Linked DNA regions of Pelodiscus sinensis. The protein of the gene in region 1 interacts with the protein of each later gene in a pairwise test. Links are inferred from orthologs where the notes say so. Each region holds a gene or a part of one and is shown on either strand. Other genes may lie near its edges.

The links.
Region 2: the proteins of FOSL1 (region 1) and USF1 interact in binary tests that used the Homo sapiens proteins (3 or more experiments, as listed by UniProt). The link is inferred for Pelodiscus sinensis from reciprocal best matches to the Homo sapiens genes FOSL1 and USF1.

The regions. Positions count from the first base shown.
Region 1 is NC_134721.1:32,505,172-32,515,449, reverse strand, and holds the start of FOSL1 (fos-related antigen 1), read right to left. Parts: upstream 5,112-10,278; 5' UTR 4,913-5,111; coding exon of another isoform or gene 4,900-4,912; coding exon 4,778-4,899; intron 523-4,777; coding exon 402-522; intron 1-401.
Region 2 is NC_134734.1:13,985,757-13,995,905, reverse strand, and holds the start of USF1 (upstream stimulatory factor 1), read right to left. Parts: upstream 5,191-10,149; 5' UTR 5,074-5,190; exon of another isoform or gene 4,960-5,073; intron 1-4,959.

The DNA.
Region 1 (10,278 bases):
GTTCATCTCTCCCTTCAACCCACAACATGGGGATTTTTTGTAACAGTCTGGGTGCCTCAGTTTCCCTCTGTACTTTGCATTGCTACCCAGTGGAAGTTTCTTACATCTGCTCTAGAGGGCAGTGCAGGATGAGGGGTGTTGTCTTGCTGCCTCGGTCCCACTGAATGGGTCATCAGTTCTGGATAGAACTGATTGAAACCATCCAGACCCACAGAGGGGTCAGAGAGACAGGAAGTACAGCAGTGGGAAACTCTGGCAGGCAGGATTGGGAACTCAGCTAGGCCCAGCCTGCGGACAAAGGATGGGAGGTCACCTGAAGAGGGTATAGAGTCTGTTTCTGGACCAGGCTGATGGCTCACACCAGCGCTCAGGGAGAAGCAGCCTGAAATGGAATCACTTACAGCTGGGATGGTGTGTGGTTCTGCCTTGGCCAGATGGACTGTGTCAGTGCTGGGTTGCAGGCAACTGCTGAGAAAAGGCTGGCTGGTCTCACTGCACATGTGTGCTGAGGAGCGTTTGTCTCTGAAGAGGGGACAAGACTGACTAGGAGTCTGTCTGCACTGGACTGGCTGGGCAGCACGCCCGTGTGATGCAGCAGGGCTGGAGCCCGGAGGCCTGCCCTGATGGAAGAATGGGCCCCATTGCTGCAGGGGTTCCTCCAAGAGGTTGTTTAAAAGCTCAGCCCTGAGCCTTTGGATCCCTGCACCTTCCCACCGCCGTGCTGGTGTGTTGGGGCTGGAAATGGGTTCTAGCTCCCTACAGTCAATTTACCCACTCTGCTGGCCTGGGGATTTTAAACTCATGATCAGTGCAGAGGTTTCTATTGGGCTTACCCCTTTGGTGGTCAGGGGGAAATCCAAGTCTTGATATCTCCATTTTACAGATGGAGGACTAAGGCACAACCTCCCCAGAGAGGGCTCTGCCCTGGTTCACAGAGCAAGTCATTAGCAGAGAACCCAGGAGTCCCAATGCCCCATCCCTGCTTCTTCCCTCACCTCCCAGCATCAGTTTGCCCCTTCCCCCTCCTCCCAGAGCTGGGAGTAGACCCCAGGAACACTGACTGTACCTATTAGGCTCGATGTCACCCTGGAAGTGACCTCTTTTAGCCCTCAGACATAGCCCCTTCCATTCCCCACCCAGCCTGTCTGCTTAATACAAAGCTGCCCTGAAGGCCTTTACAGTTCGTACTATCTCTAACCATGGTGGCTAGACACTAGCTGGGGGCTCATGCCCTCCCATCCCAAAGGCACAAACCCCCTTAGGCTTTAGGAGAATCCCCATTGGTGATTGGCAGAATAGTGTCTAGGAGACACAGCTACGTTCCAGCCAGCATTGCATTCAGCAGGGGCAAGTGATGCAGGCAGCACAGCTGATTTGGTGCAATGGGCAGAGGGGCAGGTACCTTGCTAGTGCCATGCCATGCCCACTGTTTGCCTCGTGCCCAGACAGAGGGGTGCCCATGTGGGTTACTTATGTGAGAAGGGAGCTAATGGGGCAGAGCAGAACAGGATGGTTTAGAGTCATTCCCATGTCCCATAGCCTTTTTAGGAGCTAGAGAATGTCAGGGACAGAGCCCAGGGCATGGGGCAGAGGAAGGGACTTGCAGCTCATGGGGTGGGGGATGGTGATATAGACCCTTTCCCCTCCAGTTAGTGCCAGTTCCAATCTAGCCCCCAGCTGGCTCCGGGGTATGGGGTTGTAATATGGGGCCTTCTTCTCTAGAAACCCCAAGCTTGGATCCAGCCCAAAAGCCGTTGTGGGATGGCTGCTTCTGTGCCTGCCAGAGTAAAGTGAGTTTGCTGGGTCATAGCATGGGGGTCCCCTCCCCACCTTGGCTCTAGTCCGTTCCCTCAGCAACAGAGGCCAAGGGCTCCGAGAGGCAGAGGCAAGGCACCTGCTGGGGGTGGGACATCACAGAGGGCTCTGTGCTGCCACTCTGGGCACACACTGGTGATTCCAGCTCCCAGGGCTGCTGAGTCAGCACGATCTGGCGTGTCCCTGCGTGTGAGCAGCAGGGGTGTGTGCGGAAATCCCACCCGCAGATAACCCGCCCTTTGTCCTCCCCACCCTTGACCCAGTTTCCCTGGCCTTGTGGGTCCCTTCCCAGCCCTGGTGTGCAGGTGTCACCCGCAGGGTATTGGTGCCACCCAGCCCTGGGGCAGCAGGCTGGCCGCGCCTTCTGTGTCAGAGAGAGAGCACACCTCAGGGGCTGGGCATGGGAGCGGAGCTTCCCAGGCCCCCTGCCAAGGCTAGTGGCTACAGCAGCTGGGGCTGGGCGCCAGGATGCCTGGGTTCTGTTGCTGGTACTGGGAGGGAGGGCAGGGGAGTATAATGGCCTGGGGGTCAGGACGCTGGGTACTGTGGGCAGTTCTGGGAGGGGAGGAGGCAGCTGGGGGTCAGGACGCTGGGTTCTGTGGACAGTTCTGGGAGGGGAGGGGGCAGCTGGGGGTCAGGACGCTGGGTTCTGTGGGCAGTTCTGGGAGGGGAGGAGGCAGCTGGGGGTCAGGACGCTGGGTTCTGTGGACAGTTCTGGGAGGGGAGGAGGCAGCTGGGGGTCAGGACGCTGGGTTCTGTGGGCAGTTCTGGGAGGGGAGGAGGCAGCTGGGGGTCAGGACGCTGGGTTCTGTGGACAGTTCTGGGAGGGGAGGAGGCAGCTGGGGGTCAGGACGCTGGGTTCTGTGGACAGTTCTGGGAGGGGAGGGGGCAGCTGGGGGTCAGGACGCTGGGTTCTGTGGGCAGTTCTGGGAGGGGAGGGGGCAGCTGGGGGTCAGGACGCTGGGTTCTGTGGACAGTTCTGGGAGGGGAGGAGGCAGCTGGGGGTCAGGACGCTGGGTTCTGTGGACAGTTCTGGGAGGGGAGGGGGCAGCTGGGGGTCAGGACGCTGGGTTCTGTGGGCAGTTCTGGGAGGGGAGGGGGCAGCTGGGGGTCAGGACGCTGGGTTCTGTGGGCAGTTCTGGGAGGGGAGGGGGCAGCTGGGGGTCAGGACGCTGGGTTCTAGCCCCTGTGCGGCAGCTGTTGGCACGCGGACGGCAGGCGCCGCAGCTGGCAGTGGGGTGGGGCCGGCAGCTGTCGCAGGGCCGCCCTTATGCAAGAGGAAACGGCGGAATCTCAGCACCCTGGCCACGGGCTGGGGTGAATGGCGGGGCCAGGCGGGGTGAGCGCGACCGTGACTCAGCCCCGCCGGTTCTGATGACTCACCGGGCATGACTTAGCACCCTGGAGCTCCAGCGGGAGCCATCTCCCGGTCTGCCCTGCTGCCGTAGCCTGGAGCCCCCCGCCCCCACTACACGCATCCAGCTGCTGTGGGAAGGAGCTGCCTGGGGTCTGTCTTCAGTGGACTGCCTGGGTCCCCCTCTCCCACGGCTCCGAACAGCCCAGAGAGGGAGGCGAGTCGTAAACCCAGCTGGCCCTGACCTCCTCCTCAGCTGGATTTTCAGCTCCGTGCCCGTCCTGCGGGACACGGACGGAGGAATCCGGAGATGAAGTGGTTGCCCAAGAGCTGGCCCAGAACCCAGCAGTCCGGACTCCCATCACCCCCAGCCGTAGAGCTCAGGCGTCTGCCTTCCCCTTTCCAACTCTAACTCCTAAACCCCGCTCCCCTCCCCGAGCTAAAGTGCTGCGGGTCTGGCCGATCCACCAACCCGCTGAACTTAGATGCCCTGCTGCATGTGCTTCCTCAGCCCCCTCCTGGATGGGGTATACTGTGTGTCATAAACCCTGTAGGATGACATTTGACGGGGAGTCCCCCCGACTGGAACAGGGTCTCTGGGGTGTCTCATTACGGTGGCTGGGCGGTGGGCAGGGACACGGACACCCCAGGCCCCCACAGCGCAAGATCAGCGTAAGGCTCAGTCAGCTGCCGGAGTAGGGAGCCCCCCCCCCCCATCACTCTGCTGTAGAGCGCCGGGCGGGGGAAACCCCTGCATTTTTCTGCTGTCTGCACGCGAGTGCCTGCGTGTGGGGGGGAGGGGGCAAACAAGCAGGCGCCACGCGGTGGGGTGAATCAACCCGGAGCATTAGTCACCGGGGCTCCCCCCAGGAGGGAGAGTGAGGGCTCCCCTCCCCCCGCTCCTCCAAAAGAAACGAGAGCGAAAACGAGAAAGGAAAGGGAAAGCACAGCATGGGCAGGCGGGACAGAGCCTGCGGAGGGGATCGGTGACTGGCTAGCGGGCAGGTGGCGAGCTAGGTGGGTGAGGAAGGAAGGGAAGGACAATCAGAAAGTGGCATGAATAGACAGCTGGGGATGAGGATGGCTAGAGAATAGATTAGACAGGAGAGTGGGTATGACAGACAGTGAAGGAATGGGGGTAAACCAACAGACTGTGGGGGAATGAGGGTACACTCATAGACTGTGGGGAAATGGGGTGGACTCACAGACAGTGGAGGTGTGAGAGTAGACTGATAGTGGAGGAGTGGGTGTACACTGACAGACTGTGGGGGTATGGCGGTAGACTGACAGACAGTGCGGGTATGGGAGTGGACTGACAGTGGGGAAAGAGGAGCTGGAACAATTTGTATCATGGGGGCGCTAGAGCCACTGTGAAACCAGTACCCTCCCAGCGCTTCTGGAGGAGGTGTGCATGGGGACTGGGCACTGCCGGGCAGACATCAGGGGAGGTGTGCATGGGGGCGGACAGACAGACAGGTGCGCATGGGAACGGGCAGATGGGGAGGTGTGAATAAGGACCGACAGACGGACACAGCGGAATAGGTATGGGGATTGGAGACAGATCGACTGCCCCCTAGTTCTTTTCCCTTTGCCCCGCTTCCCCCTTACCTGCTGCGGCTGCCCTGGTCCCGGAGTCCCTGGAACGACGGCCGATCCCATGCTGCGCAGGGCAGGGTGCTGAGGGCGAGGGTTGTACGAGGATCCCGGGCCATCCGTACTGCCCGCTCCATAGTTCCTGAACATGTCTAGATCTGCTCTGGGGCCGTAAGATGCCGGGTCAGTCCGCCAAGCGCTTCTCTAAACTGGCTCCCTCCAAGTTACTTTTTTTATGAATGGGTACTCCAGGACCTGCTCACTTTAGTCTAGGCAGGGGAGGGGCGAGTCCCACCTCACGCCCTTTTCAAGTCATCAGGAAGCAGAGAATCCCCGCTCCAGTAACCCACTCTGGTGTTTCTCAGACTTATTCAATTAAGATGCACCCTTTTTAGGGGAATCAGAGTTGGTGAGCCCCTAAAAGGACAACCAAGTCAATCTTTCCCCCTTACTCTAAATCTACTTGGTACGGTCTGGGGATTGACTCAGTGCTCGATGACGTAGATGTCCATATATAGTATGATTTCCTCTGGCTTGCTCTGCAATAGTAAAGGATTCCCCTCGGTGTTTGTTTCCAAACTCTGTTTGTTCAAGATGCGTATCGGAGATCCCGTCGCAGCACTGCAATAACAACGCCACACAAACAAACACCCACACCTATACACTTTCACATACACCCCGAACCTCAGGCAGGTGCAACACCCAACACCGCTCACATATGTACAACCACCCCACTCTTACTACAGCACACACCCTGCACACCACCACGGCGTGCACCTCTGTACCACACACAGCTGTGCAACAACACGTCCATCCCCTCACAACCACGATGGATGTGGAGCTACATGCATCGCTGTTGCACAACTACAAGCATCGTTGTTGCACACAGAAATACACACATGGGCACCTTCCACACCCCGCGCAACAATAAACAGGCCTAAACACGGACAGACAGACACTCCCATCAGGCCAGGTAGATGGTTTTCACATGTCAAAGATACAAAGACGCAGCGAAAGACACTCTCCCCCCCCCCCTCCCTCCCTTCCCCAGCGTCCAATACATGAATTCGGGGCTGGCTGGATAGGACCCCAGGAGCAATGCGGGCCGGGCCCTGTTTATAGGTGCTCGCTTTCCCCCCCCCCCCCCCCCCCCCCCGCACATGCCTGGCGCTGCCAGGTTTTGGGGCCCAATGAGATGATTGTAAATCCCGTGAATCCCCATTTCCCCCAGCGGTGCAGGAGCTGGAATTCCCCCCCCCCCCCAAGGTTAGAATAGGAACACCCAGCCCAACCCAGGCGTATCCCCCTGCAATCTGGCTGCGACCTCTCCTCCTGCAGTACCGCAGAGCCCCTTGCTCTTTGAACAGAGACTAAGCCTGACTCCCCCACCCACCCCTGCTGAGACTCTACAGTCTCCCCTCCCCGTAAGCGGCTGGAAGATGCCCTAGTGTGGAGAATGGAAGTGGCCAGCTAAGTGGGACTCAGAACTGTATTCTGTCCCCAGCTTTGGAAGGAGGGAGGGGGGCCTATTGTGTTAGAGCAGGGGCGGGGGCCAAGGCCCCTGGACCATCCCACCCTAGCTCTAGTTAAGGAGTGGGGTCAGGTGGGTTAAAGTAGAGGGGGCTGGGGTCCTGCCTCCTGGTTCCACCCCCAGCTGGTGGTTTCCCTCGCTCCGAGTGGGCTGCGGGGGTGTACATTCCTGACGCGCAGCAGACGCCTTTGGTCAGAAGCAGGAACTGAAAGCGCCTACCAGCGAAACTGGCAGGGCTGGGCCCAGTGCAGAGAGTGAGAGCATGTCCGGCTCCCGTCCCGCTGCCCCGCGGAGCCAGAGCGCCAGAGTTACCTCCCGCTACTGCTCGGAGACCCCGTGGAGCGAGGGACCCCGTTGTGCCAGACACAGCACAGACCCAGGGAGACACCGTCCCTGTCCTGAAGCGCTCACTGTCTAAACAGATCCCATGTGGAAGGAGAAAATAAGGCACAGAGAGGAAGAGGCTCCTTTAAGGTCACACAGCAGGTCACTGGGGGAGCAGGGAATGAAACCCAGAGGTCCTGTTGCTCAGAGTCCCCTGCCTTAACCGCTAGAACCCCCTCCAACCACCAGGAAGAGAACCCCAGGGGTCCTGGCCGCTTCCCCCAACCTCCAAACAATCAGTTCTTCTGGGCCGTGGCCACAGGGTGGGGGCCAGTGACTCCCCGACCAATGCACCATGATCCCTAGGGTCTGGCCCTGTGCGGGTTAACAATCCATCTCCCCAAGGACCAGGACAGGATGTGAGACACAGGAATGCAGCTGATCTCATGCTCCCGGTGACTAACCTGGCAGGAATGGGGGGCAGAGAGCAGCCAGCTGGCACCCTGCCACTGGCCTTGGGGACCAAGGAGAGATCGGGAGCTATGGCTGACTCCCATCCTAGCTACTGTCCCCCCTGCTCCCCGGTATTTAAACCCTTAGCACAGAGCAATGCAGTCATCCCATTTCCCTGGAGACTAGCATGGGACAGATGCTGGGAGGCTGCAGGTTGGGACTGAGTGTCACCGGCAGAACCACATGGGGAGGGGGAGCCCAGGATTGGAATAGCAGGGAGCTGCAGACTGGCATTGAGTAGCACTGATGGAGGGTGCAAAGCAGGGGGCTGCAGGCTGGCACTGAGGGGAACAGGCAGAGCTGGGGGGGGGGGGAAGCCCAGAGCAGAGGGCTGCAGGCTGGCACCGAGGGACACTGGCAGATCTGGGGGGGGGGGGAAGCCCAGAGCAGAGGGCTGCAGGCTGGCACCGAGGGGCACTGGCAGATCTGGGGGGGAAAGCCCAGAGCAGAGGGCTGCAGGCTGGCACCGAGGGGCACTGGCAGATCTGGGGGGGAAAGCCCAGAGCAGGGGGCTGCAGGCTGGCACCGAGGGGCACTGGCAGATCTGGGGGGGAAAGCCCAGAGCAGGGGGCTGCAGGCTGGCACCGAGGGGCACTGGCAGAGCTGGGGGGGAAGCCCAGAGCAGGGGGCTGCGGGCTGGCACCGAGGGGCACTGGCAGAGCTGGGTGTGTCCCAGCATTTCAAATTCTCCGGTCATCTTATTCCGCCTTTGAAAGCAGCAGCAGTTTCCGGCGGATTCCTGGAGAGCGATGGAGCTGGGGGCGGGGGGTTTCACACAGGCTCCCTCCAGATCGGCACGTGGCACTCACAAGTGTGTGTGGCTGCGAGGCAGGAGGCAGGGCCCCTCCGTGTCTATGGAAGGAACGGGCCAAATCCCAAACAGGAGACGGCCGAGCGCTTTGTGTGCTCATCCACTTACTCACCCTTCCTCTTCCTCCTGACTTTACTCACTTGGCGACTCGGGGTTTGGATCCCAGCCTAACCGGGCACAGCTCCAGGGCTGGGAGAGCAGAGGCTGCAAGTCGGGATTGAGGGGCAGTGGCAGAGACGGGAGGAGGCGATCCAGGGTGGGGGGAGGAGGCGATCCAGGGCGGGGGGAGGGGGCTTTAAGCTCGGCTCAAGAGCCACCTCTCTGGGACTCAAGGACAGCAGGGAACCAGCGTTACCATCTCCTGAGGACACGCAGAGCATGTTAACCCCTTGCTTGCTAGAGCAGAGGGACTGTGGGTGCTGCAGGGCTGTGGGGCGGAGGCTGCCTGAAGATCACCAAACATGTACACCGCCCCCCCACCAGCTGGTGAGTTGGCAGGGCCACTTTCAGCAGTGGGCTGCGGGGGGATAGTCCTTCCTTATCTCCCCTCCCCCACAGTTTAGGGCCCTCCCTCTGCTCTGAGGCTCAAATACTGTCAGGCTGAGGTGCTACAGCATGAGAGGCCATGAGTCTGCGGGGGAAGGGGTATCTCTGCCCATCCCAATCGTGGGCACAAGGGCTAGGGGTGCCAGTATGCACACCAATGCCGCCCAGAACGCAGAGAAGCCCCAGGCACCCTGACACCCCCATGCTGCTCTAAGCTAGCAGTCCCCATAGCCCTTCCAGCATCCCAGTAAATCATCTGCCTGGGTTGGCCTAAGAGAGAGGCTCATGGTCTGTGCCTTTCACCAAAAGCAGTTTTGCCCCTTCCTGTTGCTCCCACCTCCCTTTGGCCCTGTCCCCTGAAGCCCTGCCCTGCTTCCTACCTGCCGTGCTATGTAGAAGATCCCTATGAGCCAGGACTTCTGGGTTCTATTCCCAGCTCCGAGAGGCCAGACAGTTGCATGGCAGCCCCTTAGCATGAGGGTGGGTCCCTCCTTGGGCTTGAGGCAGATGGTGCCAGGCTGGCATACTGAATTGCTGGCACCATGCCCAGCCAGGAGACCGTCCTGGAGCAGCGGGTGTCTGTGGAGCAGGAGGGAGCATTCAAGTCAGTTGTCTTAGTGCTGAGAGATTCTTGTAGAAAAGTCAGACTGGGGCTATGTCTACACTACAGAGTTTTTCTGGGATACCAGAGTCCCAGAAAAACTCTGCTGTGTCCAGAGAACACCTCTGATCTTCTGAATTTTTTTCAGAAGAGCAGATGCACTTTTTCAGCATTCCTGTAAATCTCGTTTTACAAGGAAGAAGGGATGTTCCAAAAAAGATTTTTTTTCTGACATTTAGCCCAGTGTAGATGGACCAAATGTTGGAAAAGCCTCTTCTGAAAAAAGAAGCGGAAAAAGCTACACAATTTGCACTTCACAATGTGCATAGCTTTTTCTGGAAGAACAGTGTAGTGTAGACATAGCCTGCGTGAGACAGAGTGAAAGAGGGATTGGATACAGGGCCTTTCTCCTCTTGGGGCACTGGATTTGATGTGACCCCAGACCGGCTCAGGGGATTGGGTAAGGGGCTATAGAGCCTCTCACCTCTAGGGGATACCTGACCCCATATAGACCTAAGTCATTCATAACTTCAGGCCATTCACAGCTCTGCTGGTGGACTGAGTTGTGGGCCCCATGCCCTGAGGTGTCTGCATCACACCAACCCAAACAGAGAGGCCAAGGGCTGAAGGGTCCACAGAGAACCACTTCCCCTTCAGAAGGGGGCTACAGCAGGCCATTTGTGGAAGAAGGTCTCCATGCTGCAGCCCCATTTTAGGACAAGTATAATCCAGGGCTACGTCTAGACTGGCATGATTTTCCGGAAATGCTTTTAATGGAAAAGTTTTCCGTTAAAAGCATTTTCGGAAAAGAGCATCTAGATTGGCGCAGAGTTCACGTTATAACAATGCGCTTTTGCAGAAAAGCATCCGTGCCAATCTAGACGCACTTTTGCGCAAAAAAGCCCCGATAGTCATTTTCATGATCGGGGCTTTTTTGCGGAAAACAAATCTGAGCTGTCTACACTGGCCCTTTTGCACAAAAGTTTTGCACAAAAGGGACTTTTGCCCGAATGGGAGCAGCATAGTATTTCCGCAAAAAGCACTGATTTCTTACAGTAGGAAGTCAGTGCTTTTGTGGAAATTCAAGCGGCCAGTGAAGACAGCTGGCAAGTTTTTCCAGAAAAGTGGCTGATTTTCCGGAAAAACTGGCCAGTCTAGACACAGCCCAAGGGTTTATACTTGGCCTCTCT
Region 2 (10,149 bases), on another chromosome or scaffold:
CTAGCCCAAGAAAACGAACTGACCCAGAGGCCAGCATAAGAGTGGTGATGGTACTGGCAAGGTCTATGGGTGATACCCTGTGGAGGGTGCAGCACTTCTATCTACCACAGGCAACAGACAAGCCTGGGAGCAAGGCTGACCTCTGTGCCAGGCACAGTAGACTTAACCTTCATAAAGTGTTCCTTGCTCTCAGACACAGATAAGAAAAGCTTGAAAACCTGACCAAAGTGTAACTTAGGCCTGCCTGAGTCTGCAGACTCCTTGGAACATGAGCCAAAAGGAGTGAACTGATCCATTCATAATTGCAAAACCTGTTGCCATTATAGGGAGAGGCAGAACCCTTTGCAAAGTGTGCCTAGGGTCCCAGACTGGGCAGCAAAGTCAGGACCCCAGATTTCTAGATTTCTGCTATTCGCTAGCTGTGCGACCTTGGGCCAGTTATAGTGCCTCAATTTCCACATCTATAACATGGGGATGACAGCACTCACAGCTGTAATGCACCTTGGGATTTATGAATAAAAAGCACAGCATAAATTAAAGCTGTGGTGTCCACATGTGGCTATTTGGCCAGTTGAGTGTGGCTAGTTGTCTTGAATAATGTGGCTGTTTGGCTGGTTGACCATGGCTAGTTCACTACAGAACACGTTGAACACCATGGAATGAAAGGCTACGCGGTCTGGCATTGCTACCAGGTTCTGGTGGTGCCTCTAGCTAAGACCAGTCCGTGCAATATATTTGCAGTCCTGCCTTCCAGAAGATGCTCTCTTTGCTCCCAAGGTTCATGACTATGTGGGGCAGCAGCAGCAGAAAGTAGCTCTAGCTCTACTCCAGTCAGTTCAAGAAGACGGAGGTCTATCCCTACCCAGCATCTTTTCTGAGCCCTCCTTTCCCATGAACCAGCTCTAGTGCTACTTCAGCTCACAACTTTTTCAAGCAGCATATATGACAACACAACTCGTTTTCTACTACCACAGTGCTCTGCCCAGCTGCATAAAGAGCAACCAGTCTCATTAATTTCACTCCAACCTTGCTTGGGAAGGTTGGACAAGATGCAGCAAGGACAATCCACACACTCAAGACAGCACAAACTGCTGACGGTCCCATTTGGACGGTTTCCTCTGCAGTCAGAAGGACTGCAATCATTCAAAAAGTTAAATGTAACAAAATCATGAGCTACAGAATTCTACAGAAGTCAATGCTCTAGCCCAGGGTGGACAATAATTTTTGCCCGGGGGCCACTTCAAAAAATTTTGAAGTAGCCCCAGGCCACATCGGGAAGGGGCAGGGCCTAAACAGGAAGGGGAAGGGCTACCCCACCCCCAGACCAAGATTGGCCTGGGGGTGGGGAGTCCATTTGCCCCTCCTTCCTACTAGGCACTCATGCCCTGGAAACGGCTTGGCACGCTCTGCAACCCCCAGGCCAATCAGGGCCTGGGGGCAGAAGAGTGCAGGAAGCCTCCTCCTACCCTGCGAGGAGCCCGTGGAACTCTGAAGTGCCAGAGTACCCTTGCAGGGCCAGGGCAGGGCAAAGGAAGCTTCACGCAGCTCCCCCACCCCCAGGTCCTGATTGGCCTGGGGGCGAGGGAGCACACAAAGCCCTGGAAGGAGGCTTTGGGTGTTCCCCCGCCCCCAGGCCGTGCTGGCCTGGGGGCAGGGGAGCAGCAGGGCCTCCATGCCCTTTTGCTCACCCCTGCTCTAGTCTCTCCTACCACCCTGCTCACCAGGGAAAGCTGCCAACTCATCACCAGCAAGTTGACTTTGACAATCTCCAGATTTTTAAATACCCATTTTATCATTATTATTTATTGCTCATATCATTGTAGCACCACGTTTTAATAACCTGAGACATTATGAGTGGGAAATTTGCAGTTAAGGTTAATAAATGGTTTGATAACTAGACAGTATCATTTAAGGAAGAGACCATTCTATCAGACAATTGATAAACAGTTAAATAAGAACTCGGAAATCCTCCATAGAAGATCCAACACTCTGAACCATATTCGCTCTGCAGGGTGACAGTGGAAGTGGCTCAGAGAAGCAGACTTGTAGAGAAATATCATGATCTTGTAAGATTCACTTTTCCATCTTCCCATCCCAGTCTCCCCTCCAAAAACACATTTTAAAAATAATCTTTACCTCCCAAGCATATCTTGTTAGATCTTTTTAAACAAAGCTGAAGTTACCAAGTCAAATTCATGGATCAAATGTGAGTTTGTCACCAAAATCACTTCAGAGGTGAAAACAAAAATCAAACCATCTTCTGACCCTCACTTTATGTCTCCTTTAATCATCTCTCCCCATTTGGACTCTGGAGAACAGTTTCACTTTCACATTCTTGATAGCTCAGGGCTTGTGTTTCAACAGGGCAGGGGAGCATCTATTTACTTTTGAATTGTACAGCAGAACTTTTTAAATACACACTTTAAGCATTTCTATTGGGCACAGGTTTGTTTGTTTGTTTTATGACCAAGTGAAATATAGCAGATAATTTTGTTTCAACAGCAACAATTTAAATATATGCAGAAGCTAATCTTAGTACAATATCTATGTACTAACAGCAGAAAGTTCCTCCGCTCAGGTCTGTGAATACTCTTGCTAAATAAAAACAGCACAGCCAGCGGGGCACTCACTTTTATGCACCTTGGGCACAAACACACACGACTGATTTATTTTTAATACACCAGACAGCATGATTAGTTTAATAAGTTAGGTACCAATGTGCAAGGAGGCCTTATACGCAGAAGAGCCACAATGTCTACTGTAAGAGTCCACCCACACACAGCAGATTGCAGGATCAAGGCGTTAGATATTTGAAAGACTTTCCAATGGTGTTTTAAGGATATTTTAATGAACTGCTTGTTGATTCAGTGGAAGCCTATAGAGAGATTTGTAAAACTCTGACTTTAGGAGTCCCAAAGGGGTAGTTCTGTTAGTCTGCAACTTCCAAAAAAAAAAAAAAAAGCAAGTTTGTGTGGGCAAAACCCACTCTCTCACAGGAACAGAGTGGTCATCTGAGGAAGTGGGTTTTGCCCACAAAAGATCATGATACTATTATATATGTTAATCTCCAAGATGCTACAAGACTGCTCATTGTTTTTCCTCAATTTAGGAATCTGCCTAAGTATTATTCACCTCTCCCTCCCTCCAATCCAGAGCTATGGATTAAACTACCCCCAGCAATCTGCTACCTTCCCCTCTTGCATTGGATTTTCACCTGAGTCAAGTTCAATGTTCCACTAACCCTTACATAAAACTCAACAGGAGTCTGATATTAGTTCTCCCTCTCACCTGCTCTCTTTGTCACCTTCTCCAACTCCTGGCTCTGCATATTTTCTATGCCACTCCCTATGCTGAGGCCAGTCATACATGCAAAGCATCTCACCTCTCCACCTTCAAACAATTCTTTGTATAATATCACTGGACAAAATGTCCTGAAGTTGCCATCCTGTACATCATGTTTGTCTAAGAACTGGTCTAACAACAAAATTGCACTAAAGGTTTTTTTTTAAAAACCTATTTAGTTAAACGAACAAAAACTCCATAGACATTTCTAATTTGATTTAAACCTGGTTTATGTTGGTTTAGCTTGTGTCAGTAAGTTTACATGCACAAACTGATATGATGTGTTGGTTATAAATATCACGAGTGATCTACAACTGTTAAATATTTTTAAGTGAAATTTGCTTAAACCAGTGCAGTTTCTGCAAAAGATTTTAAGGCCTTGTTTACACAAAGAACCCACACAAGCTTAGAGGCAAATGTCAGTTAGAAGTGACCACAAAAGGATTTGCACTGCTCTATCACTTTAAAACTAGCTGCATGGTTTAGTTTGTGCCTAGCAATTTCCAAAGGTAAGGTAAACCTATACAAGCCAGGTTTAAATCATTTTAAGATGCTCTATATGGGGTTATCCATCAAATTTAAATCATACCTTTAATTAAACCAGTGTTACTTTGTGTTTAGACAAGCTGTAAGCTCTTTTGAGGGAGTGAGTTTGTGTTGCATTTGCAACAATCTAAACATTAGAACAGAAAAGTAAACTGTATATAAGGCCTGCATAAAAGGGAAAATAAACAAAGCACAATCTTAACAGATCGCTCCTACTCCCACACACATACACACCAGTTCATCACAAAAACTCTGCACAAGAAAAGCAAACAATTCCATCCCAGGTGCAGAGGGCTGTCAGCGATACAAGATAACAGCAGAAGCCTTTATTATTGTGCATGGAGACAGGCAGCGTAAGCAGCCCCTGATAAGATGTGGCTGGTGACGGACGGACTGACTACAGAGAAAGGAGGGTTCACCGGGATAGTGTAAACAGGGGCACTGCGAGGGGATGGACCAATCACACCTTGCAGGGGAGGAGAGAAGAGGGATGCCGTCTGACAGGCACCAGACGGATTCCTCCAATAATTTCTTGGGAGCCCAGTGAGGGGCAGCGGCCAGGGAGGAGGAGGCCAGAGAAGCGATGAGGCAGCGAGCTAAGCCTAGTGCTGCTTTCGCTGGGCCTCGCATCCAGCCGGGCGCGTCTCGCCCATTCAGGGTCGCACAGCGGGCTCCTCATCTTCGGAGCAGGGCCGGGCTCGCAGGGCAGCTGGCAGCGAGGGGGGCACCCCCCAGAGCGGGGCAGCGCTGAGGGGGACCCCACAGCCGACGAGGCTCTCACAAGGGGGGGGAGACAGGTGTGGGGGGAGTGTCTAGAGCAGGGGGAGCGAGGCGCCCCAGGAGATGCCCCTCCAGCCCCAAGGGGGCCCCACCCCCCACAGTCCCGGGTGCCGCCAACACCCCCCCCAGGAACCCCGAGGGGGGAAAGGAGGGAGGCCAGGCCCCTCCCCCCGCTTGAGCCCACCCCTAGCTCAGCCCGGCCTGTGCCGCCCCCGAGGCTGGGCACCTCCCGGCCATTCAGCGCCGGGCCGCGCCAGCAGCGCGTGGCCCCTCCCCCGGCGGCCCCGTTACCTGGTTTTTCCCTTTATCCCGCTCGCTCCCTCAGCCCCTTTTCTCTCCATGGAGATGTGCACATGCGCACTCGCTCAACGCCCCCTCCCCTCCCGCCGCCGCTGCCGCCATTACCGTGCGGGGCGGAAACAAGGGCGGTAACCCGGCCCCGCCCCTCCCTGCGCCACCACTCGCCGCCATCTTGGTCAGGGGCGCATTGGCTCCGTCTTCCCCCGCCGCCATCTTAGTGCCGGGCACCTTGCGTCACGGCTCCCAAGCGGGCGCCATTTTAGTGCGTCGCGTTGCCTTTCGCTGCTTCGGGCGGGCGCCATCTTAATCCGGGGCGCTCTCTACGCCAACTTCCGGTGGGGGCTGGCTTCATGCACCCCGACTTCCGGGGCCGGAGACGACCTTGTGTTCCGGCGTCTGTCAGACGCCATTTTGAATGAGGGCAGAACACACTTTCGGCCATCTTTGCCAGGGGCAAACGTCATTCTGGCTAGCTGCCTGTCTCCTTGGCTACCCAAGAAGTGGGGACAGCTTGCTCCCCCCATATAAATGCCATGGATTGATGGGGGCTTGGGAGTTTTGCTCCTGAGCCCCTTTTACTTCTTTCTTATATAGAGTTAGGAGGCTAACCCTCCCCATAATTAGTATATTGACCCCCCCGACATTAGGGGCTTATCCCCTCAGCCCCATATCAGGGTCCCCCACCTGATACTGAGCTTGTTCAGCTCTTTCCCCTCGAATTAGGGATTTTAACCCCCGGGGAAGTACCCCTCTGTAAGCAGGGCCTGAATGAATCCCACTGACAGCAGAGCTGGGAGGGGGAGCCCTCGGGAGCCGTCAGTACATGCCCACTAATGGGTACATGAACACACGGGCTGTGCCTCCCTGTCCAGCAGCCAGATGCTGAATTGCCCAAAGTGACCAGTTACAGAAGAACATCCAACAGACCAAAGGTCCCTCTAGCCCAGGATCCTGTCTTCCCACAGTGGCCAATGCCAGGGGCCCTTCTAGAGGGAGTGAACAGAACAGGGAATCATCACATAATCCCTCTCCCGTCACCCATTTCCAACCTCTGCTAGAGCCTAGGGCAGTGTTTCCCAACCAGGGTTCTGCAGAACCCTGGGGTTCCGCAGACCATCGTCAGGGGTTCTGTGAGAAATTGTGGAATAAATAAATAAAAATTTTGAAATACCGCGAACAATTCCAAATATCCTTCAAAATATCGCGGGAATTTTTTTCCAGCAATTGGCGATACTGGAGTAATCTTTGTACACTGCCAACTGCCTCTTTGTTCTGTTTAGGTCAGTTCATATCTAAGGTTATATTACACACACACATCGCTCACCAGTCGCACGGTTCTGCTCATGCGCAGATTTCTCTGCTCCGGCTCTTCCCGGGTGTAATCTACTCGCCATGGGTGAGTAAGTTACATTATTTGTCGAGCCATATATATATATATATACACACACACACACACACATACAGGGCTCGACAAATAGTGTAATCTACTCGCCCGTGGCGAGTAGATTAAACCCCAGAAGAGCCAGTGTGGAGCAATCTGCGCATGCGCAGAGCGCAGAACCGTGCGGCTGGCGAGCGGGGCTTGCTGCCGCTCGACGAGCCCTATATATATATATATATAAACAGCTCTTTACAAATAAATTTTCTTGACAATAATTTGAATAAATTGAATTGCGCTTCCTGCTGTCAACTTTTTCTGGCCAAGCAAATGTTTTCATAGGTAGGGGTTCCTCGGGATATGAAAAATTATTTTAGGGGTTCCTCCATGGGAAAAAGATTAGGAATCACTAGCCTAGGGACATCATTCCTACCCATTCTGGCTAATAGCCATTGATGGACCTATCCTCCTGGAATTTATCTAGCTCTTTTTGAACCCTGAAGTCCTAGCCTTCACCACATCCTCTGGCAAAGAGTTCCACAGGCTGACTGTGCGCTGCATGAAGAAAAGCTTCCCTTTGTTTTCTTTAAACCTGCCATCTATTAATATCATTTGGTGACCCCTAGTTCTTATGTTATGGGAGCAAGTAAATAACTTTCCCTCATTCACTTTTTCCATACCAGTCATGATTTTATAGACTTCTATCATACCCCCCTTCGTCTCTTCTTTTCTAAGCTGAAAAGTCCCAGTCTTTTTAAATCTCTCTTTAGATGGGACCCATTCCAAACCCCTAATAATTTTTGTTGCCCTTTTCTGAACCTTTTCCAATGCCTAGATACCTTTTTTTGTGATGGGGCAACCACATCTGTATGCAGTATTCAAGATGTGGGCTTACCATGGTTTTATATAGAGGCAATAAGATATTTTCTGTCTTATTCTCTATCCCTTTTTTAATGATTCCCAACATTCTGTTTGCTTTTTGACTGCTGCTGCACATGGAGAGGATGTTTTTAGATAACTAACCACAGTGACCCAAAGATCTCTTTATACTGACTGCAGGAAGTAATGAACTGTTCTCAGTGTTCTTATCTTTACTGGGAACAGGCCTGAGTTTAATCTGTCCCAAATGAGTAGGTCAGCCTCATCTTGAAAGGACCTTGTTAAGTCAGGGGCTTAAATGGAAGAGCTGGGGAGGGTATGAAAGGATGCGATTGTGTGCAGGAGTGCACACTTTCACGCACACATCACTGTGAGTTGACAGTAAGGCTATGTCTACACTGCAACGTTATTTCGGAGTACCCTGAAATAGCTATCCTGCGTCTTCACAGCAAGCCCATTATTTCGGGCTCGTTAGTCCGATGCCCCAGTAAACTTCATTCTACAAGAAGTAAGGGATGTTTCAGAATATCGCTTTATTTCAAAATTTGGCACTGTGGAGACAGCGCGAAAGGATGAAACAAGCTATTTCGAAATTGTATCGAAATAAGGTATGCAATTTGCATAGCTCAAATTGCTTATCTTATTTTGAGTTACAGTGTGCATGCAACCTAAGATACTGACTGGCCGAATCCAGTCACATAGCAACAGAAGGTACCTAAGGCTATGTCTATATGGCACCCTTTTTCCGCAAAAGCTTGTGCAAATGAAGCGTGGAGTAGAATATCACCATGCTTAATTTGCATAATTAATTGTTCTGTGTGGTTTTGTTGAAAAGGAATCTCTAGAGCCTGAATCTGGCCCTGGTTGCTGCCGGTTCCATTAGGGTTGTCAACTGTCTAATCATACAAACCCTAACATCCCTACCCTGTCCTGCCCGTTCCCTTTCCAGTTCCGCCCCGGGCCCCACGCTTCAAGAAGCCCCACGCATGCGCCATGATGCCACCGTGCATGCGCCATGTTAAAGGGGGGGGGGCCCACAAAATTGTGCTGCCCTGGGTCCTGCAAAATCCTCATCTGCCCCTGTGTGCACCAGTCCAGGCTCTGGCCCTGAGTGTCGAGGTCTGGATCCAGGCAAGCCGGGCCTGAGGCTCCCCATCCTTGCCCTTCACCTTAAGCCTCTTGTGCACTGCCAGAGGAGGGGGACCAGGCCTGGGTGGAAGGAAATGGGAGATAGGTTTTACAATGGTGGGCCTCTCTCCTGCCCTGCAACCCTCACCTCTTCCAGTGTGGGGCTTCACGCAGTCTGCTGCTGCTGCACCTCGGTCCTGCCCTGCAGTGGGCCTAGCTTCTGACCAACTAGCGCTGATGAAACACCAACCTGCCCCATTCCTTGCTACTCCAGTCTGGCTAGCCCATGGGCTCCTTGCAGGATCGGCACCTTAGTGATTTAGGCAAAGTGAGACCATGGGAATGAAGGTCCCAGCCCTTACTGGGTTAACACCTCCCCTCCCCGCCCCCACCCAGGCACGCATTTTCCTAGTTAGCCTGGATTTCAACCCAGATCTTCTCCTGCCGAAGTCCAGGGGTTAAATTCTAGCTGATGGTAACACTGGACATGCCTTTTGAACTCATCTCATTTGCACACCCTTTACAGTCAAAGGAGCCCTTTGTGCCCTATACGAGCAAGGCACAACATGGCCCTGTTCAGCCCAGACAAACCCACGCACCGGTGGTGCCCTACTCTGACAAACCTGACATCTCTGGATTGCCCATCTGGGACTCAGCAGCACAGGATCAGAGACTCTTGTATGAAAAGCTACCACCACAACTGCATGGATTGCTTCCAAACAATCTTTATTATCCGGGAAGAGGAGGCAGGAGCTACAAATCCTTGTCAAACCCAAACCAGCTGCCATCTCAGGTTAACAAAATACTGGAGTCCCCGACACAACTGGTGAAACAGGAATGCTGACTGGAGCGGTGTTGGGAGACTAGAAACCCAAGGACTCAGCCGGGGTAGACTAGCAATCAAAATAGGCCCGGGAAATGGGTTGAGAACGGCCCTCTCCCTGATGTCACCTCTGCATGCCCCTCCATCTTTCCCTGCATCCAGGGCCGGCTCTAGTTTTTTTGCTGCCCCAAACAAAAAATGGTTTGGCTGCCCCCCCCCCCCCTTTTTTTGTCCAGGGAGGGTGTGCGCGCAAATGCAGCTTGCGTGGCTTGCTGGGGGTGCGTGCACAAATGCAGCTTGTGCAGCTTTGAAGGTGAATGGGGGAGCATTGCCCCAGAGGAGGAGGGGTGAGTGCCGGGGGGAGCACTCCCCCAATCAAATCCTCCCCCGCCTCCCCCCAGCCAAGCACCAGAGGAACATACCTTGAAAACCACTGCTCCTCCCACCCAGCTGGCTGCTTCAACTGCAGTTTGGAGAGAGCCACTCAGCCACGGCAGCTCCCGGACCCAAGAGCAGCATGTGCTCTCTGGTCCCACCCCAGACCGGTGCCCGGGAAAGCGGGGGCAACTGCCCCACCCCCACCCCCCTTCGCTATGCCTCTGGAGTGGGGAGGAGCGGAGAGGGGAGGGCCGTGCAGAGCCAGAACTCCAGCAGCCACTCCCAGGAGCAGCTTGCCGGGTTTATCCCCCTTCTCCTCCAGCAGCCGCCAGCTGGCCCTTTGGCCGCCGGCCCACTGGGAAATGCCTGGTATCCTGCCGGGACAATCCGCCCCTGGACTCAGCTGCTCCTTTCATATTAAAGGCAGGAAGATGCAAAATTAGAGCTGGACGTGCCTGTATATCTCATCTAGGCCATCGGCCATAGCCTCGTTTCCTACCATAGATTTTCTAGGCCTTTCGGCAGTGTTGTTGCCCAAAGAAAAGGGACAGGCTGGGCTGCAGAGACACAACATTCCCCACTTGCTAACCCTGCC